Rattus norvegicus: one gene and its partners. The protein of the gene in region 1 purifies or fractionates together with the protein of each later gene. This does not show direct contact. Links are inferred from orthologs where the notes say so. Each region holds a gene or a part of one and is shown in the gene's direction. Other genes may lie near its edges.

Region 1 (7,823 bases):
AGCCAAAGACTGAAACACAGCAAGGAAAATACCAAATTCTGTGCCTGTGATCTGGAGCTCCAGTTTCAAAGGGTTTGGATATATCTGTCCCTCCATCTTTGCTGCCTGTAACATTCATACCTCCCTTGAGCTGGCTTCACGCCCTGTATGCAGCTAAAGCTAGTTTTGTTGGTTGATTTTTCTGGATCATGGCTTGTGCCCTCCCTACATCAGCATGAAGGGATTGTATGATGGCTTGTATGATAGATGCCTTCCTACTTCTTTACTCAGATATGCCTCTTGTGGCTATTCTTTCTCATTCTCATGACTAAAAAAGTCATTCTTTCTCCCCTGTGTACAATATTCCCTGACGCATCATCTGTAAGTGCTACCTTGGTGATCTTCAGCTGTCTTTGTTTTCACTTGTCTTGAAATGTTTCCATTTCATCAATGATTTTATTTTGTTTGTTGGTTTCTCTACACAGAGTTCCCTGTCCTGGAACTGAACATGTAGACCAGACTGGACTCAAACTCAGAGATCTTCCTGCCTCTGCCTCCAGAGTGTTGGTTTTAAAGGTGTGACCAGCACTACCTGGCTTCCATCAATGATTAAGTTAATTTGATGAAATTAATTTTTTGATATGGAGTCTTATGTAGCTCCTGCTGATTTCAAATTGCTACAAAGCCAAGGATGATCTTACCCTCCGGATTCTCCTGCCCTCACCCTCCAATTGTTCGGATTAGAGACATTTTCCACCATACCTGGCTCATGTGGTTCTGGGGGCAGAACCCAGGGATCTGTATATGCTAGACAAGAAGCTTACCAACTGATCAACAGCACTGGCTTCAGCACTGATTTTAAACGATGTTTGTGCTGCACTCAGCAAGCCTGGCTGGCAGTTATGTGCTTTCAGATCTTGTTATATTATTGTTTCATGCCTTCTTAGCTTTCAGGGGTGAAGCTGAAAGATATATGTTATTCTTCTGTCTTCGCCTTTGTAGCTGAGTTAATGTTTTTTTTTCCCTTACAGCTTTTAATATTATTTCTTTTCCTTACATTTTTTACGTCCTCATCATGTCCTGGAAAGGGTCTGGCCATTGTCTATTTGAGGTTGTAAACGTCTCTTGTGTTTGGATGCCCAGATCTTTCTCTAAATTTGAGTTGGTTTTTTTTTCTGCTATAATTTCATTGAATAGATTCTCTACACCTTTAGTTTTGATCTCAGCTCCTTGCTGGCTCATAGATTCTTAACTTCTGTCACTTGATCATAACCCAGAGTTCTTGAATACTGTGGTCCTGTTCCTTCTTTTCTTTATTGATATTTGAAGGTATGGTTTTCTCGACCTTGTCATATCCTTTGTTCTGCTTAGTCATGTCTATTGGTAACACTTTACCCTCTGAGTCTTTACTCTTTTTTTTCTTTCATTTCCACAATTACTATTTGTGTATTTTTTTTGTCAAAATGTCAGTGTCATAGAAGAATTATTCTTTAGCTATAGATCCTAAGAACTCTGAAGCTCCAATAGACTATCTGATGTCCACAACTGCATCTCCCAGCCGACAATCAATACTTAAGAGAGATTGAAAAGTGCAAGACAAGCTCTCTGCCCACACAGGCAGTGCTCTGGTTTCTTTCCTCTTTCCCAAAGGACTGAGGAGACAACCCTCAGCTAGAACATTAGCACCATGGGAAGTATGACCTGGGGAATCTCTGGAGAATGAGAGAAGTCAAAGCATAGACTGAAAAGCTAAGTGCGGTCAGCAGAGACGCCTGAAGAACAAGGTGAAGTTATGACAAGACAGCTCGGGAGGACACATAACACTTGCTCAAGACAGGCTCAAGACAAGAGTCTGCAAGGTCAATGACACTCTCTCCTCGCCTATTCCAAGCACTACAGAAGAGGCTGCTTCAACATCTATCTCCTCGCTTTCCTTTCTCCCTTTCCTTCTACCTTTCTTCCCGTTTTCCTCTTAGCACACTGTTAGTGTTTCCCCTTTATCACATGCCTTAAAAGCATTTTTATTTCTCTCTCGTACATTTCACACCTCATGCAGATGTTCATCTTATTCATATTCTCCACTACTTTCTTTTTCCTTTTACTTCTCTCGTATTTATATAATTCAGTATTCAAGATTTTTTATTTTTGAGATTTCCCCCTTTTGTTTTTTTCCCCCTAAACCCTTTCCCTTTTCACTCTCCATCCATGACACACTTTCCCATCCCCCCTTCTCTTTCTTTCCTTAGGCTTGCTTTCATTTTCTTGCTATTTTCACATTTACCCTACATAGTCGTTAACTCCCTAGCATATTCTACACTAGTATGGTAAATTTCTGTTTCATGGCTATTAGTAATAACAGCAACTTTGGGTGTATTTCTATATCTTCCATTTTGTTACTGTCTCAGCCATGTGTTTACTCTTTTATGAATACTGGTGACTGAGTCCTGGAAAGTAGGGTGCTCAGTAATAACCGTATGTCAAAACCACACGCAGAAACAAAGGAAGGATGAATGAAAAAAACATGGCAACAGGAGTCTTCCAAAACAAAATCAATTATCTGGGCGTGGTGAGGCACACCTTTAATCGCAGCACTCAGGAGGCAGAGGCAGGTGGATCTCTTCAAATGTGAGAGCAGCCTGGAGTATACATTGAGTCCCAGGCCAGCCAGGATATATAATGAGATCCTGCCTCAAAACAAAATGACTTAGCAACTGGATTCGGAGATACTGAAATAGGTAAAATGCTGGGAGATTTCAGAAGTTTACTAGTAAAAATACTTTAAGACCTCAAGAAAGATTCAAACAAAAAATTAATTCAATCAAGGACCTGGAGAGGAACGTTAGCTGTACATACATACATACACACACACACACACACACACACACACACACACACACACACACACACACACACACACAGAGAGAGAGAGAGAGAGAGAGAGAGAGAGAGAGAGAGAGAGAGAGAAGAGAAATATGGCTTTTAAGAATTAACTATGGGGGGGGGGTTGGGGATTTAGCTCAGTGGTTAGAGCGCTTACCTAGGAAGTGCAAGGCCCTGGGTTCGGTCCCCAGCTCCGAAAAAAAGAACCAAAAAAAAAAAAAAAAAAAAAAAAGAATTAGCTATGGGGGCTGGAGAAATGGATCAGCGGTTAAGAGCACTGACTGCTCTTCCCAGAAGTCCTGAGTTCAATTACCAGCAATACATGGTGGCTCACAACCATCTGTAATGGGATTCGATGCCCTCTTCTGGTGTGTCTGAAGACAGCGACAGTGTACATGGAAGTACAATTCAGCAAAGAAACTGAGATTTTGGGAAAATCACAAAATAGTAATGTTGGAAATGAAAAAAAAATGAATCAAGTAATCGAAAAACAAAGCAAAGAAGTCCTGTTGGAAATGAAAATGCAGAAATGCCATATTATCTTCCTCCACAATTTCCTATACCTTTTTGGGAAGGCTCCGTGGGAACTTAAGGGTGGGTGAGCATTAGGAACCAGATCATGTGAGGAGCCAGGAAAACAGTGTGCCGCACAGCAAATGAATTTTCTGACTGTACTAGGCCTTTCCTCTGTCCTATCTTCCCCTTTTTCATAAGGTGGAAGGGTGCAGGCCTTCTCTGGGTCCATCCCAGGTATGTGCACTGTTCCTCCAGGGAAAAACTCTGTCGGATAGAATGGACGTGCCAGGTTCTTGAGAACCTTCAGACTCAGTGCCCCCAGGAGTTGACCGAAAGGGAAAGGGAGAGGGAAGGAAAGAAGGGTTGGGGCGTGGTGGAGGGAGGGGCGTAGTCAGAAAGCGGCGAATGGTAGGATAAGGGGCGGGCCGAGGGGGCGGGCCGGGAGGAGAGGCTCGCCTGGACACTTCCTTAACATGGCGACGCTGCGCAGGCTTCAGGAGGCGCCTCGGCACTTACTGGTCTGTGAGAAATCCAACTTTGGCCACGATAAGTCTCGCCATAAGCATCTCGTGGAGACGCACTATCATAATTACAGGGTGAGTCAGGTCCACCCGGTCTCCCTTGGGCTGGAGAGATTTAAGGTAGAATCACGCCGTGCATCACCCGGCAAGACCTCCTCGGCTTCAGAGGGTGGGCCGAGTTCGTCCTTCGACATGCTGGGAACTGTAGTCACTTCATTTTGCTATTTGCCTTGCTTGGCACTGTATAGGACTACAATTCCCAGCATGCACCAGACGCAGGGTGGCGCTCGGTCCTATGAGGAACAGCGGAGTTTTAGTTTGTGAATTTGGCTGGTTGGTTCAAGATTGAGACCCTGGGTAACTCAATGCGGGGGTCGGGCAGGCACGGAGGAGTTAGGAATGCAACCTGCACAACACGTAGCCGACTTGCTCCCTAAGTCTGTGCAGTTCTCTGTGAATCAGCTTGTGACTCTTTCCAAAGCATCACGCGGTTTGACAACCGAGGAACTCCAAAAACACTTACCTTAAGGTGATAAGGGCTTAAGCATTTTACACCTTAAATATCGGCCTGATAGGTTTCTCAGATAAATTAGCTGATGTCTTTGTCCGTAAGGAACAGGTTAGGCTGGTTGTTGGAGCTTTGCGGAACGGACTTTAGATGTGCGCTTGGGGATCATTTGAAATCCGCGCGGATTTTACATCTCTTTGGTTGAAAGTTATGCCTGCGGTCAGAGATGTATGTCTAGGAAATGGAAGCTTCCAGGAGCACTTCTCCTTCTATATAACTTCTTACTAACTGAATGTCCCTAAATTCCTTGTGTTCTCAGGAGCAGTTTCTTTGATTTCATGACTCCAGAGTAAGCAAATCAAGACTTGTTGAATTATCCTCTATTTCTTTGAATATAAGGTGTGAAGGACATAAGATATACTACTTATATGCAAAAGATGAGATTCAAATAATACTTCAATTACAATATTTCTGCTTAGTCTCTTGCCTCACATTGAGATACAGAAATAAAAAACTTGAATAGTCAAATATCTGTTTGCCTGAGATTAATAGATTAAAAGAATTGTTGCCTAGCAAGTTTAGGTGATGCACACCTTTAAACCCAGGCAGAGATGGGTGAATCTCTGAGTTCAAGGCTAACCTGATATACAGAGCAAGTTCCAGACCAGCAAGGAGCAAGGGTTACTCGGAGAAACCCTGTCTTGAGGCCTGGGGGCGTGTGTGGAGGTGACTCTGTGTGTGTGTGTGTGTGTGTGTGTGTGTGTGTGTGTGTGTGTGTGTGTGTGTTGTGTGTGCTTGTGCACACATCTGTCTTATCTAGGGTTTTCCTGCTGTGAACAGACACGGTGACCAAGACAACTCTTATAAGGACAACATTTAATTGGGTCTAGCTTACAAATTCAGTGGTTCAGTCCATTATCATCAAGGCGGGAACATGGCAGCGTCCAGGCAGGCATGATTTTAAGGAGGAGGAGCTGAGAGTTCTACATCTTCTTCTGAAGGTTGCTAGGAGGAGAAGACTGGCTTCTAGGGAGCTAGGATGAGGGTCTCAAAGCCCATGACCACAATGGCACACTTCCTCCAACAAAGCCACACCCACTCCAGCAAGGCCGTACCTCCTAATAGAGCTACTCCCTGGACCAAGCATGTTCAAATCTTCACGTTACCCATGTTTGTATGTCCCACCAAAACTTGTGAAGGAATAACTAGCAATTTTGATATTCCATTTCTAAAACCATAGTGTTAATCTTCATAAAATATAACTTTGTTTGTACTCCTACATTCTAATAGGTTTCATTTCTTATTCCTGAGTGTGGGCTGCTATCAAAAAAACTAAAAGACCTGGTCATGGAAATGGGACCCTATTACTCTGTGAAGAAGTTACCTCTTCATGAATTAATTACACATGAATTCATCAACACCTTTGTAAAGAAAGGTAAGAGGAAGCATTTAGTGTCTCATAGGAACAAACAGAATGAGAGCTATGGGAAGACCTCAGGAAAATATTGGGGCTCTTCGTGTGCTTGTAAAAGGGCCCGTGGAGGATAGATCATGTGGTCAGCTGCATGCGTCCCTTCTCTATCCATCAGTGTTGTCGTTTTCTTTCCTGTGTCCTCTTTATGTGATAGCTAAATATCTTACCAAATTTAATTAGCCCTTGCAATAACTCAGTGAAATAGGTTGAATCCCTACAGATGACCATGAAGAAGTTTTTAAATTTTAACTTGCTCAAATGGTTTCTGAATATTAACTTAGAACTTTACATCAAACTTTTGTCCTCTTGCCTCTTTGTGGCACACCTTTCTGCTAGAATCCCCAAGACTATAGGTTCTAGTCTGCAAGTAAACTCTCACAAAAAGACCCCAAATGTGACCTGAGTAGTGGGGTGATCTAGCTGGAACATAGCATATGTGTGTGTTCCAACTTATCTCTGGGGTGTATTGGGTTTTTTGAATGCGTTAGAGCTGTGCTACATACTGACTGTTACCTACCTGGAAGTTTGTTGTCATGGGAAAATAATTCATAAATAAATGTTGTGCTATTTTATTTACCTAATGACTTTTCTTGACTTTTTCTTACAGGTTCACTCTCTGCATTAACGTACAATACAAGTATTGATGAGGATAATACTGTTGCTCTCCTACCAAATGGTGACAGCATTCATTTTTTTTCTCCTTTCCTCATTAGAAAAGAAATAGCACTGCTTTAAAAAAAAAATTAAGGAAGGTAGAGAGATGGTTCAGCATTTAAGAGCACTGGTGGCTCTTCCGGAGGACCAGAGTTCAGTCCCCAGCACCCACTTGGTGGCTTACAACCGTCTGTAACTCTAGTTCCAGTAAGCCCAGCGCCCCGTTCTGGTCCCACAGGCACCGGGTACATACATGGTGCACAGATATAACATGAGGACAAAACACCCACACACATAAAAGTAATAAAATAATAATTTTTTTAAAAAGTCAAGTCGTATAGCTTTAAACAGAGTAAAATGAAGCCCATCTTTGTGCCCCTGACTTTCTTCTTAGATGGCACGGTTTGATGTTTATTCTTTAAGAATTTATAAGCATACATATTTTTGTTTGTTTTGTTTTGAGACAAGGTATCTCTATGTAACCTTGGTTGCCCTGGAACTCACTCTGTAGAACAGGCTGGCCTTAACCTGCCTCTGCCTCATGAGTGTTGGGATTGAAGACCTGTGTCACCAGCACCAGCAAGCGTAACATTTTTACACATTGGTGGACATTTTTTCTCAGTAGTCTTATTTCCCAGAGTTTATGACATAGACACGTTCCTGCTTCAATGCATATAGTTGTGACTTAGACGTTTTTTGAGGTGGGATCTTGCCACTTAGACCAGAGTGGCCTCAGATTTTCCTTCCTCCTGCCTCAGCTGTCCAAGTGCTGGGATTGCACACACGAACCAGCACATCTCTACCTGGCTTTAACATAAAGCTTTTAAATGTTTTGAAGGTATTTGAAGTGGGGGTGGGTGGGCACATGGCTCAATAGTGTGGAACGATTCCTGTCATTGTAGAGAACCCAGATTCAGTTCCCAGCACCCACATGGCAGCTCACAACTCATATTCTAGGAGATCGGACATCCTCTTCTGATGTTGGCAGGTTCTTTGGTGTAATTACAACCAGGCATACAAGTACATTAATCTAAATTAAACTTTAAAGAAGATATCTGGAGTAATTTACAGACCACAGTTTATTTCTTCCTTTATACAAACTTAGTTGTTTGTAGTTTTGCTGTTGTAATATCTACATATGTATATGTGGTAGACAATACCACCAAGCCTGGTGGCTCTCACCTGCAGTCCCAGTATTCGGAAGGCTGAAACAGGATGATTGCCACCAGTTTGAGCCCAGCCTCAGCTACAGAGCAAAGTTCCAGACTAGTTGGGTACATTGCTTGATAGT
Region 2 (8,000 bases), on another chromosome or scaffold:
ACCAAATAGTCCACATGGAGCCACCCATGGCTCCAGTCACATATGTAGCAGAGGATGGCCTTGTCAGGCATCAATGGGAGGAAAAGCCCTTGGTCCTATGAAGGCTTGCTGCCCTGGTGTAGGGAAATGCCAGAGTGGGGAGGCAGGAGGAAGTGGGTGCCTCATAGAAGCAGAGGGAGGGGAGATGAGATAGGGGGTTTCCTGAGGGGAACCTGGAAAGGGGATAATATTTGAAATGTAAAATAAAGAAAATATCCAATAAAAGAAAAGAAAAAACATGAAGTACGGAGCTAAACAGAGAAGTCTCACCAGAGAGATCTTTAATGGCTAAGAAACACTTAAAGAGTTGTTCAACATCCTTACTCAGCAGGTAAATACAAATCAAACAACTCTGACATTCCACCTTTCACCCATCAGAATGGCTAAAACCAAAAACTCAAATGACAGCGCATACTGGCAAGGATGTGGAGCAAGGGGAGCACTCTTACATTGCTGATGGGTATAAAGATTTGTACAACCTCTCTGGAAATCAATTTGCTGGTTTCTTAGAAAATTGGGACTAGTTCTACCTCAAGACCCGGCTATACCACGTGATCATATTCCCCAAAGATGCTCTACAAAGCCACAAGGACGCTTGCTCCTTCTGGGGGCTGGTGAGATGGTTCAGGGATCAAAAGCACATGTAGCATTTCCAGAGGTTCCACACGGGGTGGCTTCAAACCAACACACACACACACACACACACACACACACACACACACACACACACACACACTGACTGACTGACTGACTGACTGACTGACTTTTTAAAAACAATTTTTAAATATAGATTCTTGGTGCTGGAAGGACTCAGCATGAAGAGCAGCTGCTACCCTCCCAGAGGACCTGTGCGTGATCTCCCACCACACACATGGTAATTCACACCTGTCTGTAACTCCCCTTCCAGGGCTTCTTGACACCTCACACTGACATAACCACAGGCAAAACACCAATGAACATAAACTAAAAACTTTTAAAATGCAGATATTCCAGGCACCCTTCTGCTAGGTAACTCTAAGAGATGCCTACACATCAGAACTTTTGAAACCTTCCATTTCCTTGCTTATTCAGACAGGGTCTCCGTGTGTATGCTTAGACCTCAACCTCTCTACCCTCCGGCCCCAGCCTGCTGAGTGTGCACTCACTCACACTTGTGATAAACCTTATTGACCAAAGAGATCAGCACACACTTCATTTGCTCAGTCCATCCCTGTCCACTACTGTGTCCAGTACTTTGCTCTCATAAACAAGAACCACAGAAATCCTAGTAGGTATCTCTCTTCATATAGTTTTCTGAGGGTGACAAACTGTGAGGCTCTCCTTAAAAAGCAAAGGTTTTAGTAAGTATGCAACTGTGTGTCACTGTTACTCAGAAAAGCCCACACCCTACTGTGGTCTGAGAGTCACAGGGAATATTGGCAGATACCCAAAGCTAAGCTAGATATTTTAAAAGGGTCCATTAAGAGATTCCTAATAACTGGGCTAGAGAAAAAGGCTAGGCTGGGCCTTTGTGTCCCAGATCTATGGGAATCACTTTTGTCTTTTATCATAATGACAGACACTAATGTTCTTGGTCTGAAGGATGCTTTCTGGGTTGGATGTAATGAGAGACTGTAAATTCTAATGCTCCAGAAGCTCAGGCAGGAATATTACACTTTCAAGCTCAGCCTACACCACACAGCAAGTGTCTGGGAAACTTGGTCTTAGGAGTGAAAAAAAAAATCAGTTTAAAAAAGCAAACATTCTTAGACCATCAGAGTGCAATTTAATGAGCATAGGAAAGGAAGGAAGGCCAGCCGGAAGGAGGGAAGGAGGGAGGGAGGGAGAGAGAGGAGAGGGGAAGAAGGGAGGGAGGGAGGGAGGGAGGGAGGAAGGAAGGAAGGAAGGAAGGAAGGAAGGAAGGAAGGAAGGAAAGAAAGATGCCTTTTAGACATATAAAAATGTTTAGTCAAGGAACCCCACTACACCAAAGGCAGCACCTGATAATCAGAACCCAGTTTCATCACTCATTCAAGACAACTAGCCAGTCCTAGAACCCCATGCCACCCAGTGGAATTATATAAGCAGACACCAAGAGCAATTGTCTGGAGAGAAGCCACCTTGATCTGCCCTGGGGCTGGAGAGCCACCACCACCACCACCCCACCCCCGTACCCCCTCCCCGAACCCTACTGCCAGGATCCAATCAAAAACTTCTGTTAGAGACTGGGCCTGACCTTCAGCTAAGATAAGTCACACAAGAGGGGTAGCCTTAGGGAGATGATAGGCTTAGGAATGTAGTTAGGAATTTAGGGGGTGAACCTATGTAATGGCCCACAGCATAATAAAATGTAACTTTTGTTATACTAGCTACACTAACTGGACGTATCTACCTGCTTGCTCAAGACATCAAGTAAATCAAGTAAAAGAGACCTTTAAACGAGGTTATAAAGGTATTTAGTAGCAGAAACAGAACTAAATCCCCGGCCACCAGTACAAAATGTGCCTATTAATCTCGGGAGTAAATTCTGGGTCACCCGGGGCCACATTGTGAGCCCCTTGCATAAAAAAAAAAAAAAAAAAAAGTCGTTACCGCCGATATCCCCGGACCACTTGTGCCCTCCCTAGTCCCCGATCTCCCTCACGTCCTTTCTATGTCAGCTTGCCTCGCTATACTTCATTAATCCTGACCCTCGACCCGACCGCTCTCGGCACAGTCGGTTGCAAAGTGAACGACACAGCGAAGACCTGCAAACCTCGCCCCTCCCTCAAGCCACAGAGATAACCCCAAGGCGCATGTGTTGCCAGAGACAGACGCACATAGATGCCATCACGCCGATGACGTCAGAGAGGCGCCTGATCCGAAATTGACGCCGGCTGGAGCAAGTCCGTGCAGTTTGTAAATTGTTTCTTGGGCTTATCGGATTTTTTTCAGGTGGAAACTTAAACTTAAACAAAAAAGCATCCAAGTGGGGGTAAAAACCTCTGAACAAAGCGAAGAAAGGAAAAGAATGCATGAGGCCTGGAGGAGACATCATTAGAGCGCTCCGGAAGCTGGCCGACAATGAAGGGTAAGTGGAATGAGAGGCGCGGAATGGGGCCGAGGTGAGACTATAGAGCACCGGAACCAGAAGTTGGTCTGTGAAATGAGTCAGGGACACTTGTCAGAAGACATCTTCCAGGGAATGGACTCAGTACACAAATCGAGGCCCCAAGTCTGAATCGGCCGACTCAGTCTCTTAGCTAGGAATGGACGTCAGGATCGAGTGTGTGTGTGTCCTCCTCAAGGGCTTCTCAGGGGAACTAGAAGAGGTAGGTCCAAGTCCTTGACGGGACCTAGCCACTACCTTCCCATATAACTTATGTCTAGGGCCTGCTCCCCTCTACTCTCTGGCTTTTCACCCTTGCCCCTGCCCCTGTAAACACTGCTGAGGGGCCGTGTCGCACACCTAAGGCGTTGATATTTGAGCTGAAAAGACCTGCACCCAGAAGGGCAGTTAAGCACTGGAGCAGTATTAGAGTAGAGAGGGGATGCCGTAAAGATTAAGCCTCTGATCGGGCGATTCACACCCCTGTCCGTGCCCTTTTCTCAGAGAGCAAGTTTCTTAGCATGTCTTAGCTACAACCTTACTATGTGCATAACAAGGAGTAACTACTGTTTTAAATTGCTTAGAAAGATTAATGACATTAATATATACATATTATGCATACATATATGTGTGTATATATATATACACACACACATATATATGCACACACACTCACTCAACCAACTGCTCAACCAGCAGTGAGTGTCCCCTACCTGTTGCATGTTGCAGAAAGACTTTCAGTTTTGATGCTAGGCATCTGGGGTCAATACAACAAAGTTCTCCCTGGGGTTCCACTCTCAATAAACAAAAAAAGCACAATCTCAATCCATTGTTCAAGGGAGAACTAGATGCTGTATATAAAACTTGTAAGTGCCTTGGTTTGTTTGCTTGCTCAAGCATGTACTCAGGGAAACAGAGATGGATTTTTGTTTGTTTGTTTGTTTGTTTCTTACTGTTGCTGTTGGGATACAGCCAGCTATGTTCTCCTGGCTGGCCTGGAACTCACTGTGTAAAACCAGCTTGGCCTCTACCTCTCAAGGGATGGGGATGCCACCAAACTTAGCTCAGAAGTGGAATGTATGGAGTATGGTGTGAACTGCATTTTCTGGTCATGAGCCCCATGATGCTTTCCTCCAAACAAATGAGAAACAGGAGGTTTAAAGAGGTTTTGGCGGGGTTGGGGATTTAGCTCAGTAGTAGAGCGCTTGCCTAGGAAGTGCAAGGCCCTGGGTTCGGTCCCCAGCTCCGAAAAAAAAAAAAAGAACAAAAAAAAAAAAAGAGGTTTTGGCATCCTGAAGATGGTATTTAGAATTTGGAAAGAGACTATTGTATCTTATCTGGTCAGGATACATTATAGATTTTAAGGTGTGAAAAAACCTCTTTCAAGCCTCTCCGTAGTCAGCAAAATGTAGTGTTTCAACCATACGCATTAAGATCGCCTCACTTTTAGTGTCTAGACTTACTAGACTTACTGAGCCACTGCCCAAGCGTAATTATAACTCTTGGGTGTTTAAAATCAGATTAACTCTAAATGTGACCCATTGAGGAATTTTTTTGAACATGCAGAGTCGAGTAGGAACCAAAACCCTAAATTTTAATAAGATCTCAGTGATTCTTAAACACATTAAGCTTTGAGGGGTGCTTTTCTAAAAAAACTACATCCTGGGAATTTCTAGGATGAAGTTGGCAAGAGGGAAGGGTAGTGTGGTACATGTGTACCACTATAAGGTCAGTGTGGTGGTACATGTGTATAATCCCAGCTACTAGCACTTGGAAGCCTAAGACAGGACTGGTGTGGGTTGGAGGCCAGCCTAGGATACAAAGCAGACACGTAAGAGGGCTGGGGTCTACGTCCACAGTGAAGCACCTGCTCAGCATACATTACACTCCCCTCACATTAGTCCTCCAGCACTGCAGCATAAAATAAAAGGATCATCTTCTCTGAGTAAGTGTAGTTCTTGTCCTAGTTGGAAAAGCCTTGGCTATTATACTCGTTCCTAACAGGAAGAATCATTTCTCCTTGTTTTTGTCTTTCGTCCCCCAGCTGTGATCTACCATGCCTTTTCTCATAAAGAAGCCAAGGACCACGATGTGCAGGTACAGTCTGTCAGAGGTGACGGCAAAGGAGGCTCGGGATCTTCTAAGGCTGGTGTAACTGTCTTTTCCCATGGATTACGCCTCTCCTTTCCATTCTGTGTACTAGGCCCCATAAAAACCTTTTGTGCTGATGTCTTCATGAGCCAGACTCCTTCCTTAGGCTACCAGAGTCAGCTCTGAGGGACTTGGACTCCTTGATTTCCTGTCATCCCCCTCTCTGTAGGGATGACAGCCTCGCCCACCTGAAACCAGTATCCTGGGCAGTGCTCAGCCCGTTCCATAAGCCGCTGTTAGGAGTTTTGTCTGGGTGTTTCCGGATGCTTTGTCATTTGGGCAGAAGCTTCACCTATGGCTCCTAAAGGGAACATGTCCTTGAAATCAAGACTTCAAAAGGCCCGTTGACCTTCAGTTTTTAATCCCCAATGAAAGAGAGGCCACCTAGTTACAAGATCCGAAGTGTCCTCATGTCACTTGTTGATGAATTGTTGAGCTATCCCTGCTTCAGGCACCTCGAAGGTTATGTATTCTATATTTTCACTCCCTTGCTTTAGCATAGAGAGGGTGGAAGTCACTATTCATACATTACCCTAAAGCTGGCAGTTAACCCAGACTTCCCAGCAAATGACTCAGGGAAGAGGTCAGTCCTTAGGTAACAGGGTTTCAGTTGATGTTGCCCGGTGAGGAATACATTGTTGCTGCTCCAACTCCAGAGGACAAGTGATTAAAGAGGACTTTGAGGGGCTAGGGATTTAGCTCAGTGGTAGAGCGCTTACCTAGGAAGCGTAAGGCCCTGGGTTCGGTCCCCAGCTCCGAAAAAAAGAACCAAAAAAAGAGGACTTTGATATCCACTGTCCTCCTCAAAGGACTTGACCTTCCTGGAAACCCCAGTTTCCCCTAGTGCCGGAGTGGCTCATTTCCCTACCAACCCCCCGCTCCCTTCCCCTTATAAGCTGGTCATGACTGATTGGATAACCTGTATCATCCATGTCTCAGGCTTCCTTCCCTACAAGGATTAGAGAAGTACTAAATCACAATAGGGCTTGGATCCTCAGTAGAGGAATCTCAAAGAAGCAGGACAGGAAGTCAGTGTTTGAACTGGCTGCAGTGTGGGACACTGTCACAAGTACCATATGAGTGTTTCTTCTACATCTTGGCAGCTGTGTGGAGCAAACCCTTGGCAAAAGAGATTTGTGAGCCTCAGTGGATAGATAGACAGATCAGCAAAGATAGTGGCTCATTGGAACAGGGTATGAGGGCCCTGGTGTCTGGGCAGAAGAACAGTGAACAACACCCCCATGTCTCTGAGCAGGAGCTGGGAACCCAGCGGGCTGAGGCCTTTGTGCGGGCCTTCCTGAAGCAGAGCATACCTCACATGAGCCAACAAGACTGCGAGAGCCATCTGCAACGCAAGGCTGTGATCTTGGAATATTTCACTCGCCTGAAGCCGAAGCCAAGGCCAAAGAAGAAATCCAAAGGCCTCTCTGCCAAACAGAGGAGAGAGCTGCGGCTCTTTGACATTAAACCAGAGCAACAGAGGTATGCCCACCTTCCTAAAGGTCTTGCCTTCCAACAGTGCCTAGTCTTCCTTGTCCGGGTGTAGACTGGAGAGCCTAGAGCTCACTGGATATCTGTGCCCACTTAGGCTCAGGTACTTCTCTGCCTTCTGCCACAAGGGGGCAGTCTCCCCCTACCAATTTCTTTGTGCCTGTGCTTGGCCTCTAAAAGGCAGGCATTGGTGAGATTGAGGGTTCTCATCATGGAGCTTCTGTCCTAGCCTCACTAATAAGTGAGTCTGTTTCCCATGGCAACAGGCTGTTTGTTTTTGAACTTTCTAGAAAAGAGGAACTGATATGCCTTAATGTGTACTTCCTGTAGCTTTGAATATAGCTGGACAATATTACCCACTCAGAGGTTACTGCCAAGGAATGGGCCCGCCTACTCATTTCAGACCTGTCTTGAGGGAGGATGTCTTTCTTTCGTTGTGAGTTTGTGTGTGTGCAGCCACTGTGTACTGGCTTTGTATAATGCTTTCTAGCCACATAGCTTCCCATGTCCCAGATGGCATGAGAGTGTCACTTTGCCAAGGATATGCCTTGCTGCATTCCCTAAAGGAAGTGCTTGTTTCAGATTTAAGCCATTGTTCTTGACTGTCTAACCCTGGGCACCAAGACATGTGATAATCACCCCCAGAGAAAAGCTTCCAGGCTCTACCCTCGCCTCCTAAACAGTCCTGTCACCTTACAGAAGGGATTGCACCTCCCAAGGGCTGTTAAGTTTAACTTCCCGTAAGCGTGGGTTAAACAAGACTAATGATCATTTGTTCGTTTGTCTTGGGGAAAGGAATGTGGTGAACAGCACCTCGGTCATTATAGCTGATGGGTCATTGCTGCCTTCAAATGTCGTTTGGGGTCTTAGCCAGGGGCTCCACCATCATACCTATATCCAGCCAGGAAGACAGGCATCTGGGCGAAGGACCACCACTTCCCTTTTTGAGAACAGATATTTAGTCTTGGAAAGGTTTACCAGGGAAGAAGTTAAGGTTCAAGTAGGGTCTTGGGGAGATGCTTGGATCTTTGGGAGCCTTGGCCTTGCACACAGTGTCCAGTGCTCCTCATGCTCATTCTCAGCCTGGAGCCCAGCTCTGTCTCTGACTTTCTACCTGTTTCTGACCTTATGACAGATACAGTCTCTTCCTCCCTCTACATGAACTCTGGAAACAGTACATCCGTGACCTGTGCAATGGGCTCAAGCCAGACACGTGAGTTCTACTTCTGAAGCCTGCCACGGAAGTAGATGG
Region 3 (6,880 bases), on another chromosome or scaffold:
GAGGCCTGGGCTTTGAGCTGGTCTATGGTCCTGCTATCAGAGACGCAACCATGAGAAGGTACACAATCTCCAATGCCCTCAATCTGATGCAGATCTGCAAAGGAAAGGTATAGTTCCTGCGCCCAGGGTGCTTTCTGCCAATGGCGGTTTAGTAGTGTGTCCATGCTGTCAACTGACTCCTGGCCTTAAGCAGAAAATTCTCAGGACACTAGATTCTTCGATTTCAAGGAGCTTTGCAAGAGTTTGTAAAAACTCCCCAGGGAGGAGTAAGATACGGAAGAAAGATGTGCCAAAAGCCCCTGGTTTTGATAAGGGATTTGTAGTTTGCCACAATGAAAAGTTAGTAGTTGATTATCGCTGAGTGAGTTAAAGTTACAGCTTCTAATTCATCTGCACTAAGATGTATTCACAAAGTTTATTCTGCTTTTATTATTGGCAGCCTTGAGTGTGACATGAGAGCTTTTAATGGTTTCCCACTAATTACCTACCTTATCTTTAAAAAAAAAAAAAACGAAAGTATTTTAGTCTTAAATGTTAAAACGGGATTGCTGGTCATTTGTTCTATACAGTTCTTCAATTATTTTATTAATTATCTAAGATTAATATTGCTCACTCTCTGTTTTATAGAACGTAATTCTGTCCAGTGCTGCAGAAAGGGTAAGCATAGCATGGAATACCTTGTCTCCGTGGTTAAAACGTCACTGTGCTCTCAGGACAACTGACGGACTGCCAGTCTGTGCTTTTAACTGATTTGCCATGGTGATTGCTAAGTATATCCCGTTCATGCGGCCTTCAGGTTGGGCCTGTGTATGTTTATATTAGGAAATAACTAGAAAACAGTGGTTTTACTTCTCCCTTTACCTTGTTAACAACGCCTTTATATGGTTTGTTATTTATTTTTAGAAAATTATCACAATTATAAGGATCTTAATTTATGAAATTTACTTATCTTTGGATACTGAGTTGTACTTACTTATTGTAAATAATTAAAATGTTAATAACATCTCGTTCTATTTTCTGTTTTCCTTATGTCAGCCTTTGGAAATAAGAGGACCATATGACGTGGCCAACTTGTATCCTCTGTGTTCTGTTTAAACATGTGTTCCTATTGGGTGTTGATCAGAAGACAAGTTCAGGAGTTCGGTCTCTCCTTCCATCCTGTGGGTCTTAGGCATCCGTCCTAGGCCACAGGGTTGGCAGCAGGCACCCTTACCTTCTGCCATCACATTGAGCTAGAATTTTCCCTTAGAAAATGTAATCAAAAGTGCTGTTAGAGTTAGCCTGATGTTCCTTATCCTTTGGTTGGAAATTTCCTGATCAGCTGCCTCACAAGCCAATTACAACCAGTTGTAGACTTCTTTATCCTTTCCTGGTTTTCTTTGTTTGTTTGTTTGTTTGTTTGTTTTCTTTTTTTCGGAGCTGGGGACCGAACCCAGGGCCTTGCGCTTGCTAGGCAAGCGCTCTACCACTGAGCTAAATCCCCAACCCCCCTTTCCTGGTTTTCTGATTAAGCAGAAGAAAAGAGAGGCGAGGGACTATGCAGGATGAAAACAGTTAAATGAGGCTTCTCAGGTGCAGTCTCAGTCGGGCTAAGACCTGCTGTAGAGTTAGTCTGTCTGCCACTGTGGCCAGGTGAGCTGTCCTCTGTTTGTGTTCGTGTTGTCTCCTACCCTTTGGCTGACTGGGTTGAAGTCCTTACTGACCCTGTCAGAGGGCTGCTGTTCGGGCTGTCCGAAAATGAAGGCAAGGCTGCCGTGTCCACAAACTGCCGAGCTGCATTTCTCCATGGAGGTGAGCATATTCATATCGTAGGGTCCCAGAGGCAGGTCATCGTCAATAATTGACGTATGTGTGCCCGTTACCCTTCCTACAGAGTTCCCATAAGGAACCAGTTCTAACCAGTTCTAACCAAACGCTGGTCCCTCCCCTCACTTCAGGCTTTACTTTCTGTAGTGTGCGTTATATGTCGTTATATGTCGTTTGCCTTACAGAAGTGACTCCACAGTGTCCTCTGCCCACATTCTCAGAGGCCTTTGACTCCCTCCTGCTTCTCACTGGATGGTCTCTCTCCCGGCTAAAGCCAAAAATAAAAAAATAAAAAAAAAAAAAAGTTTCAGGAACAGAAATGGGAATAGTAGTGTTAGTTTGACAGGATCTAGAACCATCTCATTCCAGAATCGCCTGTGAGGGGTTATCTAGATTACAGTGAGCCCCTGGGAATGCAAGGGTTTGGTTAGTGGATGTGAGAAGACCCTACTCCCTGGGTAGAGGTCCTGGATTGTATACGGCAGAGAAAGCAAGCTAAGCACCAGCGCTCAGACCTGTGCTCCTTAGCTGGGACTGCGACATGGCTGGGTGCTTCAGGCCTTGAGCTCTTGAGCTCCCTACCGTGATGGACTCACCTTGTGCTGTGGGCTGAAATAAACCCATTTACTCTATGAGTTGCTCTTATCAGGGTATTCTATAACAGCAACAGAAAAGAAACAAAAATATTAAACCATTAATTAAAAAAAACAAACATTTTTGGGTCTGGATAGATGGCTCAGTGGTTAAGAGCACTGACTGCTCTTCCAGATGTCCTGAGTTCAATTCCCAGCAACCACATGGTGGCTCACAACCATCTGTAATGAGATCTGATGCCCTCTTCTGGTGTGTCTGAAGACAGTGTCCTTACATATATAAAATAAATAAATGTTAAAAAAAAATTTTTTTAAGTCCAGCTATCTAAACTCAGTCTATAACTTTTGTGTTCATCATAACTCAGAATGTTTCTCATTTGGGTTTACGTGATCATGCATCTGCTGTTACGTATTTTGGGTGGGTTGGGGGTATTGCTTATGTAAAGATATTATACTAGGTTAAAAGGCCATTTCTTTGTAATTTAATAAATGTGCTTTGAGTATATATCCCTCCATACCCCTCCACCCTCCTTGTCTCACCCCCATTAGTCTCTTGTGCATACTCACACACACACACACACACACACACCGTTAGTCCTCTTTGTGCAGACTCTCCTCCAGTCGGTCCTTCTGACCCACTCCCTCCCACCACCTCCCATTAGTCCCCTTGGTCCTGAGGCAGGTCCCTCCGACTCCTGGACTTCTCCCATGGTCTGCACATGCACCGTTTGTGTACTGGAGTGGAGTGTGAAGCCCATGGTGAGAGGCAGAACCCACATCCCCTGCAGCACTGCTCTTCCCCCTTCCTCCTCACCCTGCCCTTCCTCAGTGTCACTTTTCAGTGTGCTCCTTAGTTCATCAGGCAGGTGACTGTCCTGTGCCTTCATTGTAATGTCTATTCGAAGTGCACTTCCTTCCCAGCATTTTGAACATGTAAGGATCTTACATTCTGTATAACAGCGCCCAGCCTGCTAACACGTGCTTAACACAAGTTGTCTAGATCTAAGTTCAGCTCCACTGCTAACTGAGCCGAGCATACAAGGCAATCCCTCTGCATGGTAGGTGGCTACTGTACACCAGGCCACTGTTGGTCAGTACAGAGGTGCAGTGACAACTAGGATAGTGATGGCATGTGGGATAGGAAGAGGTCACCACAGCCCTTGCTGTGGGAGCAGTGCAAAAATGCTTGTGGTTCCCTGTCTTTTTACCCTACATAAAGCAGCTGCTAGGCCACTTATGGCTGGCTCTGACCTGACCTCATCAGATGCCATGGAGAGAGCCGTGGAGAATCCCTGCTCTGCAGCTTACCTAAAGGAAATCCTTAGGAACAAACCAGATGGTCAAAATACTGATCATAACCGGCACCCACGCCCTCAAGAGCTCTCTCTGGCTTTCTTATTTACAGGGCTATAGGCCAAGGAAAATGGGGTAATGCTGGGTAAACCAACATCTGCTGCAGTCTCCGCTCTCAGGAGGCTAAGGCAGGAGGCTCAGAGTTGGCTGGACTGTGTAAGGAGTTCAAGGCCAGCCTGGGTACAGGTGAGATCCTGTCTCAATGAAACAGCAGTAAAACTGTGTTTATCAATGTGATTTCTGTGTTACAGAAACTAGGAAAACTGCTTTTGGAATTATTTCTACAGTGAAGAAGCCCCGGTCATCAGAAGCAGAGGATGAATCTCTTCCAGCGTGCAAGAAAGCTAAACATGAGGGCTGAGGAGACAGCCTGAGTCTCCATCACGCTGCTCCTCCCCTCACAGCTCATCAGTCACTGCAAATACACTCCGCTCGGCTGACGTTTTCACTAAACTAGAAACCAAGTCTATAAAAACAGCTTCATATTCAGACATTAAAACAGCAAATAAAACCCAGTGAAGCATTTTTAAAGACTAACGATTAATTTAGATATACTTTTAAAAGAAAAACTATTACCCTTCATGTGAGTAATGAATAGCAGTAGGTGCACTGAAACAAGATGTCTCGATATTGTAAAATATTGAAAAATAATAAATTAATGTTTTTTGTTCTTGGTACATATGGATTTGTAACTTTTACTATCCCAAAAAGTGGTTATTTTGAAGACTTAAGCTCTGTTGTGCAGGTGACTTTAACCAACTGATTATGTTTTAAGCTCTTTGATGTCCTGCTCGGGTTAAAGCCTTTCTGAAGGCCTCCTGGACCTGTGAAAGGAGAAGGGCACTCACAAGAGTTGCTTATCCCCTCTATGTGCTCCCTCCTGCCTTCAAGTTGTCCTGAAGACATATTCCTCCCTTTAGTTAGACATCATTCAGTAGCTAATACTGATTTTCCTAGTTGCTATAGGTTTAAAGCATTTGGCTCAAAAAAAAAAAAATCCTTTGGAAATAATTTTCAACAACAAGTTCATTAGCCTGAGTAGGCAGCCATCTCTGTAAATACCTGGATTTATGCCAGATTGACGTAAGGGCCCAAGGACGGGGTGGAGTTAAGGGCAGGAAGGAACGATGAAGAACGGTGTTCCGAAGATGAGGAGGCAGGTGTTTAAGACCGGGTGTATGCTGCTTTCACGGACATAGCTACTGAGATCAAATATTAGCAAGTAAGCACATGGTTAAAGTCAGTGAAGCTTTAGTCCAGGATTGTAAGGCTATCTTAGTTCTCTTTAAGGCTTTTGTTCTTTCTGTAGTAACAGAAATAAGGGGGAAATTAATATTCAAATAGGTAGCAGAAATGATGGAATGAAAACCAGTATCCACTCTTACATTTATACAGAGCAAAGGAAATCCTTGATGAGTCCTAGATGTGAAGGTTCCTGGCCATGACTGAAGCAGAAAGATCACAAGTTTGAGGCCAATGTGGCCTATGGAACTACAGTGGGGCAGTGGGGAAATATTGCATAGGCACATGTTTGTGCACACACATGTAAAGCATACTGACGGAAAATAGCATCGGTGACTGTTCACTGAATACTATTCTTGGGAAACCAGCCTAGACATCATCAATAGATGAATACATAAAGAAAATGTGTGTACATTTGATGGCCAATGTGACAGGATCTAGAATCAACTGGGTGACAAGACTGTGGACTGAGTACTTAGATTCGTTCGTTGAGGTGGAAGAACGCCTTGTGTGTGAGTGAAACTACTCCATGGGCTGAGGGCCTAGGTGTTCACAAAGAGAAAGTTAATAAGCACGCACAGACATCTGTCACTTCTTCCTAATGATAGATTCAGAATCGGCAGTGAAAGAGCAGGGAGCACAGGGTCCCACCCCAGTGGTGTGCTAGGTTGTTCACTTGGGGATACTGAACTACCTGGCTCTATGGGGAAGTTAGTAGAGTTAAGAGCAAACACTGAAAACAAACTATAATCTTCCTCTGCCTCACTTCATCTTTTTCCTTGCAGATGCCATTACTGCCAATGTTAAACAATTAATATTCATAGAAGCATTAGAGCAGGGCCTGCCATATAGAAAGTATCCATTCACTCTCCACTCTTACCCTTACAGGAGGTAAAAACTAAGCTCTCTGTCATACCAACACAGTAAATTCAGGTAGTTCCAAGCTTTGACAAGCCAAATTTGTAAATCAGCACAGAAAAGCAATAAGCCAGAAGATGATGTAAGCCTGCACCCCTACCTAGAACTTGGGATGTGGGGACAAGAGATGGAGTGGTTCAACATTCTCAGGTACATAGCAAGCTTAAGGCCAGCCTGGGCTACACAAGACCCAAAAACAAAAAACAAGTGAAAAGGCAAAATGTAGATTTCTAAAACGATCTTAGATTGGAATAAACTCAAGTATAATCATTGAAACCAGAAAATTAAATGTCAGTTGATTTCTATGAGCATATGTTAGAAGCTAGGATTGTGGCTCACTGTTGTGACACACTGAATTGTGGGTTCAGTCTCTAGCACTATGAAATTAGAATGTTCTGCCGGAAACAATATCGTCTAGGAAAGTTACCTTCAAATGATCTCCTTTGAGAGATTGGAATCACCATTCCTGACTTGTTTTCAAAAGTAAACAACTAGCGGTGGGTGCTGCATACCTGTAATCATAGCATTCAGGAAGCTTGGGAAGGCCAATCATGACTTTGAAGCAAAGCAGGACAACACACAAAGTTCAAGACCGGTTAGGTACATAGTCAGATTCAGTCTCAAACATAATACCATGATAAATAGCGCTAGTGTCGGTCCAGACCCCTTTCCCAGGCTTGCAGACCTATCCTCCAGATGGTCCAGATATTGGGTACTAAAAAATACCCTTCCCCCAGAGCATTAACCTTACCTCACAATGCCTGGGAAGTCTTACTGCACTGTGAGGCTAGCCTGGGGCCAGAGCCTGAACATTTCAAGGGCTTAGCTGAGGATAGCTCTCTCCTGAGACCACATCCTCCCCTTTTTCATCCTGTCCTATTTCCTCTTTGCAGAGCAAATAAAGGATGCAGCACATCCTCAATAAATAAAACACTTGTATGAGATCCTCATTTCAAGAGGGACAAACT
Region 4 (6,932 bases), on another chromosome or scaffold:
TACTTTAAAAAAAAAGGGGGGGGGGCTGGAGAGATGGCTCAGCGGTTAAGAGCACCCGACTGCTCTTCCAGAGGTCATGAGTTCAATTCCCAGCAACCACATGGTGGCTCACAACCATCTGTAAAGAGATTTGATGCCCCCTTCTGGTGTATCTGAAGACAGCTACAGTGTACTTATATATATAATAAATAAAATAAATCTTAAAAAAAAAAGGTGTCTCATGCAGCCTAGGATAGCTGAAAAATGCCATGTTGCTAAGGAAGACCTTGAACTTCTGATCCTCCTATCTCTCACCCCTCCTTCTGCAATTTTAAGATTTTATTTTAATCACAATTTATGAAAAGTAACAACAGCCACTATGTCCCAGGAACTCAGGAGCACAGGGAGCAGGCTATTATAATTACCCTCCTTTTGCAGATGACAAACCAAGGCACAAGGGTTAAGTCAACTATCCAAGGTCACAAGAAGCAGAAAGAGGCTAATGAAGCTTGGACTGCCGGGTCAGTACCTCAATTATACAGGTTCCTCCAAGACTTTACGCTCACTTAATTTCCTATCCGCATTTTGTAATCCTTTTCTTAAAGAGAGCAACAAAATCTGGATGTGGCTGCAGAGGTAACAGATGCCAGTGTGCAGTTTTCTTGTAAGTATTTAAAAATACATTTACATATGCAAACGTATCCGCAGGGTTTGGCGGGCAACCAGCTTTTTTCAGCATACCGTCCTGGCTGCCTTTCTAACCATGATGTTGTGTGTAGCAAAGATAGTGCCTTTATTTACCCACTTTCCCCATATTGAACCTTCTTTCTCCTCCCGCTGTCGTCTGTCCCCTTTCGGAAGGTCCCTACCCATTTCGCACGATTTCTCCTTTGGCCGTCTTCCCATCCTGGTATCCCTTCTCACATAACCTTCCTCTTCATCCTCCTCACTTAATCTCCTTCCTTCCAGTCTCCCGAGCTTCTCTCCTCTCTGACACCAAGGTTTCTTCACGGTCCAACCGGTTTCTTCGGCTCACCGCCCCTCTGCCAGTTCTGGGCTTTAAGGCTGCCAGCACCACCCAGTCCCCGCATCCTTCCCCCATCACCTCCCCCGCTGCCGCCCCTCCCGGGCCGGGAGGGAGCGCACAGTCGGCAGGCGACAGAGAGAGCTGACAGCGTAATGAATGGCTTCAGCTGTAATTAGCGACCCCGCGGCTAATCACGATGTGCATTTACATTTTAAGTGCTGCAGAGGGAGCGGGAAAGGAAGCTACGCGGGCGGGGAACTGGGCCTTTTCTGCGTTCTCCCTCCACAGACTCGAAAATAAAGTGAATAGGGGAGTCTATGGCAGAGGGTAGTGGTGCTGAGAGGGGGTGGCGGTGTCCTTGAGGGCCAACTTGGGTAGAGGCACAACCACCCCTTCCTTATGGAACAAACTTGCAGTCCCCAGGTCTTCCAAATTATAGAGTACTGCCTACAGGGTCTCCAAGTGTTTAACTCAGGCTTGCATACTCCCAGGGACGCAGAGCTCGCTTCTTTTCCAACCAGCACACTCCTACATAGCTTCTAGTCTTTCTGGAACTTTTTCTCAAGCCAATCCGAACCTGCCGACTTTAAGTTCCACCACTTGCCCAAGAGCACAGCAGAGGTGGTGTCGTCCCAAGGTTGGGCCTCCAGAGCCTGCTCCTTCCTTTGAAGTCTGCAAGAGTTGGATCTAGGACAGAGTCCCAGTTCCAGCCACACTCCTGGAGTGTGAGCAAGAGATTGGAGTCAGTCACTCACACTTGAGGCAAAAAAAAAAGTCCAGGTGCTGCAGCCACACTCCAAGAAGAGATGAGATATAAGGCCAGTGTTCTGAGCCGCGGGGCTGAGAATTGTCACAGACAGCAAAGAGGAAGAGGAGGGCCGGGTAGCTCTACTCCTAGACTGAAGCTATGTTCATCCAGATACCATCTTGCTGATACTTTGGAGAACACAGTTCCTTACAGTCCTTAGTGCTTCTTCCTTCCCTGTGCTTTAACAGGTCTGTCTGACTCCCTGCCTTTCGTGGAAGCCGGTTGAAGACTGAGGACATGGTCCCAGGGGAGGATTAGATAGGGTCACTCTTTATTAAACCGTCTTCCTTTCATCAGCCCTTGGCCCCTAGCCTCATCTTTCTACGCTCATCTCACCTCCCAGCAGAGCCCGAGCCTCTCCTTAGATTCTGTGGAGTTTCCAGAGTTTGCAAGTACTCCCACCCCCAACATTCCACCAAGGCACTCCACCCTGCCTCCCACCTCTTAAAACCTGCCTTCTCTCCGTTTAACAAAAACAATCCTCTGGATTTCTAGAGGCCAAGGCTGACTGGCAAGGAATTCCACCTGGAATTGGAAGTCAGAAATCCGCGTTAGCACGGGCTGAGCCACGCACTTAAAAATACACGCAGCTCTGGTAACGGACTTTCAGGCATAAATGTTAGAATTTAACGCCTTGGAAGAAATGGTCCCCTGTTCCCCATTCACTTTAGGCAGGCCCAACGCATCACTTCCCACATTTCAGAGATGTATAGGTGCCGGGAGCCTGGAGGTATGATCAAGAGGAGCAAAGCTGAAACTTAAGTCATTCCAAGCAGCTACTGAAAGACCAAGCCACGACGTAGCGGTCCCAGCCCAGGGAAGGCGCTGCGTGCAGCCGCAGCCAACGCCTCCCACACTCTGCTGACCATGCACTGGCTGTCCTTGACGCAAGAATATATAGAGAGAAAGGGAGGGAGGTCCCTGGAGGGCTGGAGAAGCGAAGCCCCAAGAGGTGGTTTGGAAATCTCTTACCTAGGAGGGGTCTAGGGATGCCCTTGAGCTGGAACTCGCAAGGCTTAGGGACTAGGCTTGAATCGGCGTTTGCACCTCAAGCATAGTTTTTATTTAGGTTGTTCCTGCAAGAGGGCTGGTTCAGGGAGGACAGATGGTGACTTCGGGGAACTTCACCTCCCAAACCACCCCTGCTCAGCCGCTGAGCACCAGCGCTGGATCCCAAAGGCTGGCGGGGCTGGGACTAGACACGCAGAGTTGGGGCGGGGCCTGGACTAAGGGGCAGGGCCTATCCCGCTCCCAGGCGGAGCTTCTGCTAAAGGCGCGGAGCACAAGGCTCCGAGGGCGCAGAGTAGAACAGCACTACCCTGTAGAAGTCTGGGCTGAAGACTCCGCGTTCCCTGCTCACCCTCCAGCTTTCACTCGGTGCCAGCATCCCAATTCCTGCCGGCCCTCGCCCGGCACGACCCGCGGCCATGCAGCCCCGGGCTTGAGGCGGCCCCATGGCAAAACCTGCGATCCCAGCGACGACGGCGCATGGAGAACTTCCGTAAGGTGCGCTCGGAGGAGGCGCCGGCGGGGGACGGTGATGAGGGTGGCAGCCCGAGCTCTGGCCCTTTTGCAGATCTGGCGCCTGGTGCTGTACACATGCGGGTCAAGGAGGGCAGCAAGATCCGCAACCTGCTGGCCTTCGCCACCGCTAGCATGGCGCAGCCAGCCACGCGCGCCATCGTCTTCAGCGGCTGCGGCCGGGCCACCACCAAGACCGTCACGTGCGCCGAGATTCTCAAGCGCCGCCTGGCGGGCTTACACCAGGTCACGCGGCTGCGCTACAGGAGCGTGCGCGAGGTGTGGCAGAGCCTCCCGCCTGGGCCCACACCGGGTCAGACGCCCAGCGATCCGGCCGCCAGTCTCAGTGTACTTAAGAATGTACCGAGCCTCGCCATCCTACTTTCAAAGGACGCACTGGATCCACGACAGCTTGGCTACCAGCCCCCGAACCTCAGTCCTGGTCCTTCGTCCCCTCCTACCGTGTCGACGTCCAAGAGGAGCCTGGGGGAATCTGCAGCTGGAGAAGGCACAGCTAAGCGGTCTCAGCCTGAGCCAGAGGCTGAGAATGAGGACCGGACTGCCTGAGAATTCTCGCCTCTGAACCACCTAGACTGGATCTTATATCTTCAACACACCTACATCCACATGCACCCTTCCTACCTGGGTTTTAAGGGGCCCATGTTCCTGAATATTGGTCCTCAAAATGACAACGCGGATCCCAAGGCGACAGGAGAGGGAGCTCAAGAATTACAAGAGAGGATTCTTGAAGTCCGAGGAAAACTTTGTGGGACATGTTGCCAGAAGCCACAGAACACCACCCACACCTTTTCTAGGCCATCTTTTTTAGGGAAGCCTGGTGGGTAGTGGGACTCTTGAGCTTTCTTGGGGACCCAGACGTTAAAAGCACCCAGTGTGCATGGAGGCTGACAGTTGAGGCTTTAAAAACCGTCCTTGTTGTTAACTGAGAGCAGGAGCTGTGAAGCTGTTTCCTTGAGGGTGACCAAGTTGAAAATGTCTGGACCCTGTTCTGCCCACCCACACCCTAGCATATTCCTTTTAGCTTCCCCCCACCCTCACCCCTGTTGCATGGTGGCAGAGACGGGACCCAGGAGGAAACTTGCCATGCTTCCTCCCCTGAGTCCTGCTGGAGTATTGCTTCCAATAAAACAAACATGAAAATGGCTCCGTCCCCAGTTTTGTCTCTTTTTTTTCCCTTACCCGCTCGCCTGTGCAGAGCCCACTTTGGCATGCTTGCCTTCAGCCCTATTAGCCTTTGGAGTCTTCAAGGTCAGACGCAGACGGGGCAGCGTCAAAAATGTCGAAAGAGGGACTTGTGGTGGAGGGGGTTGGAGGTCTGTGTCCCTGTTGTATCCCCACAAGGGAAAGGAAGCAGTGTTGCTGCTTTTCTGGGAGGGGAAGGAGGGGGAGCCTTGACGAGCTGGAAGCGGCAGCCTGCCAAGGCTGGCCAACCATGCTAAGGTTCTAACCTTGCACCCTCCTCCCAGTAGCCATTCTTACCCAGAGGCAGGCACAAAGCCCCAGGAGCAGGGGCTCCCCTTCGCTGCCCTCTCTCTGCAAAAGGACAGCACACCCTTGGGAGAGGGGGAGGGAGAGAGACAGCACAAATCCACTGCTGGAAATTACTATTCAGCAGAGAAGCTTGGGCTGTGAATCACTGCAGGCTCCCTGATAAGCTGCTGCCTTCAGCCCTGCACAGCTGTGGGTTGAGAGATAACAGCCTCAGATGCCTCTCAGCCCAAGTCCAAGTCTGGAGGGGGTGGGGGTATGCTGTGTGCTGTGGAAGTCGGGGAGCTGTGCAGCATACAGCTCAGGATCTTCAGGGCAGGCGCTACCCCGTGGAACTCAGCACCTCTGGAAAGGAGATGGGAGAGAACACATTTGTAAGTCACTTTGCTTGTAGAACCTTGAAATAAATCCCACTGGTGAGGATGTGGGTTTCTGCAGCTGATGGAGGGGCGCCTAGGGGAAAGCACTCTCCTCTCCTAACACTATCTCTGCTCTGTTTTGAATCACTGACTCGTGTCATCCAGACTGTCGTTCATTGCCCTCTGCCTCCCACCCACCCCCCTGACCTAATTATTTCTTTTTAGGGGAGGTCTGGCCATGTAGTGCAGACTGGATAATAACTGATCCTCCTGCCCCAGCCTCCCAAACGCTGGGATTACAGGTGTGTAATTTGTCCGGCCTTATTTCTTGTTCTTGAGGAATCTCTAGGGAGAGCCAAGGGGTTTAGATGTGTTTGTGAGCCTGCTATGGAGCAAGAAGCATGGAAGGAATGAAGGCTTGGCTGGGGAGGTAACTCGGCTGGTAGAGTGTTTGCCTAGCATGGATAGTCTCACTTTTTACTCGCAGCCCTGCCCACCCCAACTTGTCATGGTGGTGCATGCCTGTAATACCTGAACCATAGAGGTGGAAGGAGGAATACCAAAAATTAAAGATCGTCCTTGGCTACACACGTGGAGTTTGAGGCCAGCAACAGTAAACCATCCAGACAACTGAGGTACCTGACTACTGGACCACTGGGCTTCTGAAACTAAAGGAAAAGATAAGATATAGAAGTCATGAACACGGGGATTTAGCTCAGTGGTAGAGCGCTTGCCTAGAAAGCGCAAGGCCCTGGGTTCGGTTCCCAGCTTTGAAAAAAAGAAAAAGAAAAAAAAAATATCCTTTTAGGAGACTAGAGAGATGACTCAGCAGTTTAGAACACTGATTGCTCTATCAGAAGTCCTGAGTTCAGGGGCTGGGGATTTAGCTCAGCGGTAGAGCGCTTACCTAGGAAGCGCAAGGCCCTGGGTTCGGTCCCCAGCTCCGATAAAAAGAACAAAAAAAAAAGAAGTCCTGAGTTCAGTTCCCAGCAACCACATGGTGGCTCACAACCATCTGTAATGAGATTCAATGCCCTCTTCTGGTGTATCTGAAGACAGCTATAGTGTATTCATGTATATATATTGAGTTCCAAGACAGCCAGTGCTACACAGAGAAACCTTGTATCAAGAAACGAAACAAAACAAACAAATGAAAACAGGTTGTAAAGAGTAATTGGAGCTTGAAAGCTACAGGAAGAGAAGAGCTGAGACTCTGGTGTGGGATGATGGGATGGAGTGGGATGGTGGGACAGAGCAGATCTTAGCACTATTTTATTTATTTATTTTTTTTTTTATTTTCTTTTTTTTTTTCCAGAGCTGGGGACCGAACCTGGGCCTTGTGCTTGCTAGGCAAGCGCCCTACCTCTGAGCTAAATCCCCAACCCCCACTATTTTTTTTTAAAGATTTATTTTATTTATTATATATAAGTACGCTGTAGCTGTCTTCAGACACACCAGAAGAGGGCATCAGATCCCATTACAGATGGTTGTGAGCCACCATGTGGTTGCTGGGAATTGAACTCAGGACCTCTGGAAGAACAGTCAGAGCTCTTAACCACTGAGACATCTCTCCAGCCCAGATCTTAGCACTATTAAGGCCAAGCATCACTGCCATTCCAGGCATCACAAAGGCAGCCTTCTGAGCATTCATCCTAGCGGGGCCAGAGCCTTGCCTGCTTTTCTGACATTTTAGGAGTGACACCTTTTAAGGTTCAAATGGTGGAGTGTG

The links.
Region 2: the proteins of Rpp40 (region 1) and Pop4 purify together in Homo sapiens (affinity purification with mass spectrometry; 3 studies listed by BioGRID and IntAct, counting the BioPlex papers as one, with this or other methods). This does not show direct contact. The link is inferred for Rattus norvegicus from reciprocal best matches to the Homo sapiens genes RPP40 and POP4.
Region 3: the proteins of Rpp40 (region 1) and Rpp30 purify together in Homo sapiens (affinity purification with mass spectrometry; 3 studies listed by BioGRID and IntAct, counting the BioPlex papers as one, with this or other methods). This does not show direct contact. The link is inferred for Rattus norvegicus from reciprocal best matches to the Homo sapiens genes RPP40 and RPP30.
Region 4: the proteins of Rpp40 (region 1) and Rpp25 purify together in Homo sapiens (affinity purification with mass spectrometry; 3 studies listed by BioGRID and IntAct, counting the BioPlex papers as one, with this or other methods). This does not show direct contact. The link is inferred for Rattus norvegicus from reciprocal best matches to the Homo sapiens genes RPP40 and RPP25.

The regions. Positions count from the first base shown.
Region 1 is NC_086035.1:29,149,375-29,157,197, forward strand, and holds the start of Rpp40 (ribonuclease P protein subunit p40), read left to right. Parts: upstream 1-3,828; 5' UTR 3,829-3,848; coding exon 3,849-3,971; intron 3,972-4,180; exon of another isoform or gene 4,181-4,425; intron 4,426-5,694; coding exon 5,695-5,839; intron 5,840-6,485; coding exon 6,486-6,554; intron 6,555-7,823. UniProt on the Homo sapiens protein: Component of ribonuclease P, a ribonucleoprotein complex that generates mature tRNA molecules by cleaving their 5'-ends. Also a component of the MRP ribonuclease complex, which cleaves pre-rRNA sequences.
Region 2 is NC_086019.1:100,099,980-100,107,979, reverse strand, and holds the start of Pop4 (ribonuclease P protein subunit p29), read left to right. Parts: upstream 1-2,923; 5' UTR 2,924-3,081; coding exon 3,082-3,088; intron 3,089-5,150; coding exon 5,151-5,203; intron 5,204-6,512; coding exon 6,513-6,739; intron 6,740-7,883; coding exon 7,884-7,961; intron 7,962-8,000. UniProt on the Homo sapiens protein: Component of ribonuclease P, a ribonucleoprotein complex that generates mature tRNA molecules by cleaving their 5'-ends.
Region 3 is NC_086019.1:243,216,818-243,223,697, forward strand, and holds the end of Rpp30 (ribonuclease P protein subunit p30), read left to right. Parts: coding exon 1-107; intron 108-627; coding exon 628-657; intron 658-1,035; coding exon 1,036-1,073; intron 1,074-1,711; coding exon 1,712-1,791; intron 1,792-4,003; coding exon 4,004-4,113; 3' UTR 4,114-4,742; downstream 4,743-6,880. UniProt on the Homo sapiens protein: Component of ribonuclease P, a ribonucleoprotein complex that generates mature tRNA molecules by cleaving their 5'-ends. Also a component of the MRP ribonuclease complex, which cleaves pre-rRNA sequences.
Region 4 is NC_086026.1:66,800,145-66,807,076, forward strand, and holds Rpp25 (ribonuclease P protein subunit p25), read left to right. Parts: upstream 1-3,117; 5' UTR 3,118-3,302; coding exon 3,303-3,902; 3' UTR 3,903-4,498; downstream 4,499-6,932. UniProt on the Homo sapiens protein: Component of ribonuclease P, a ribonucleoprotein complex that generates mature tRNA molecules by cleaving their 5'-ends. Also a component of the MRP ribonuclease complex, which cleaves pre-rRNA sequences.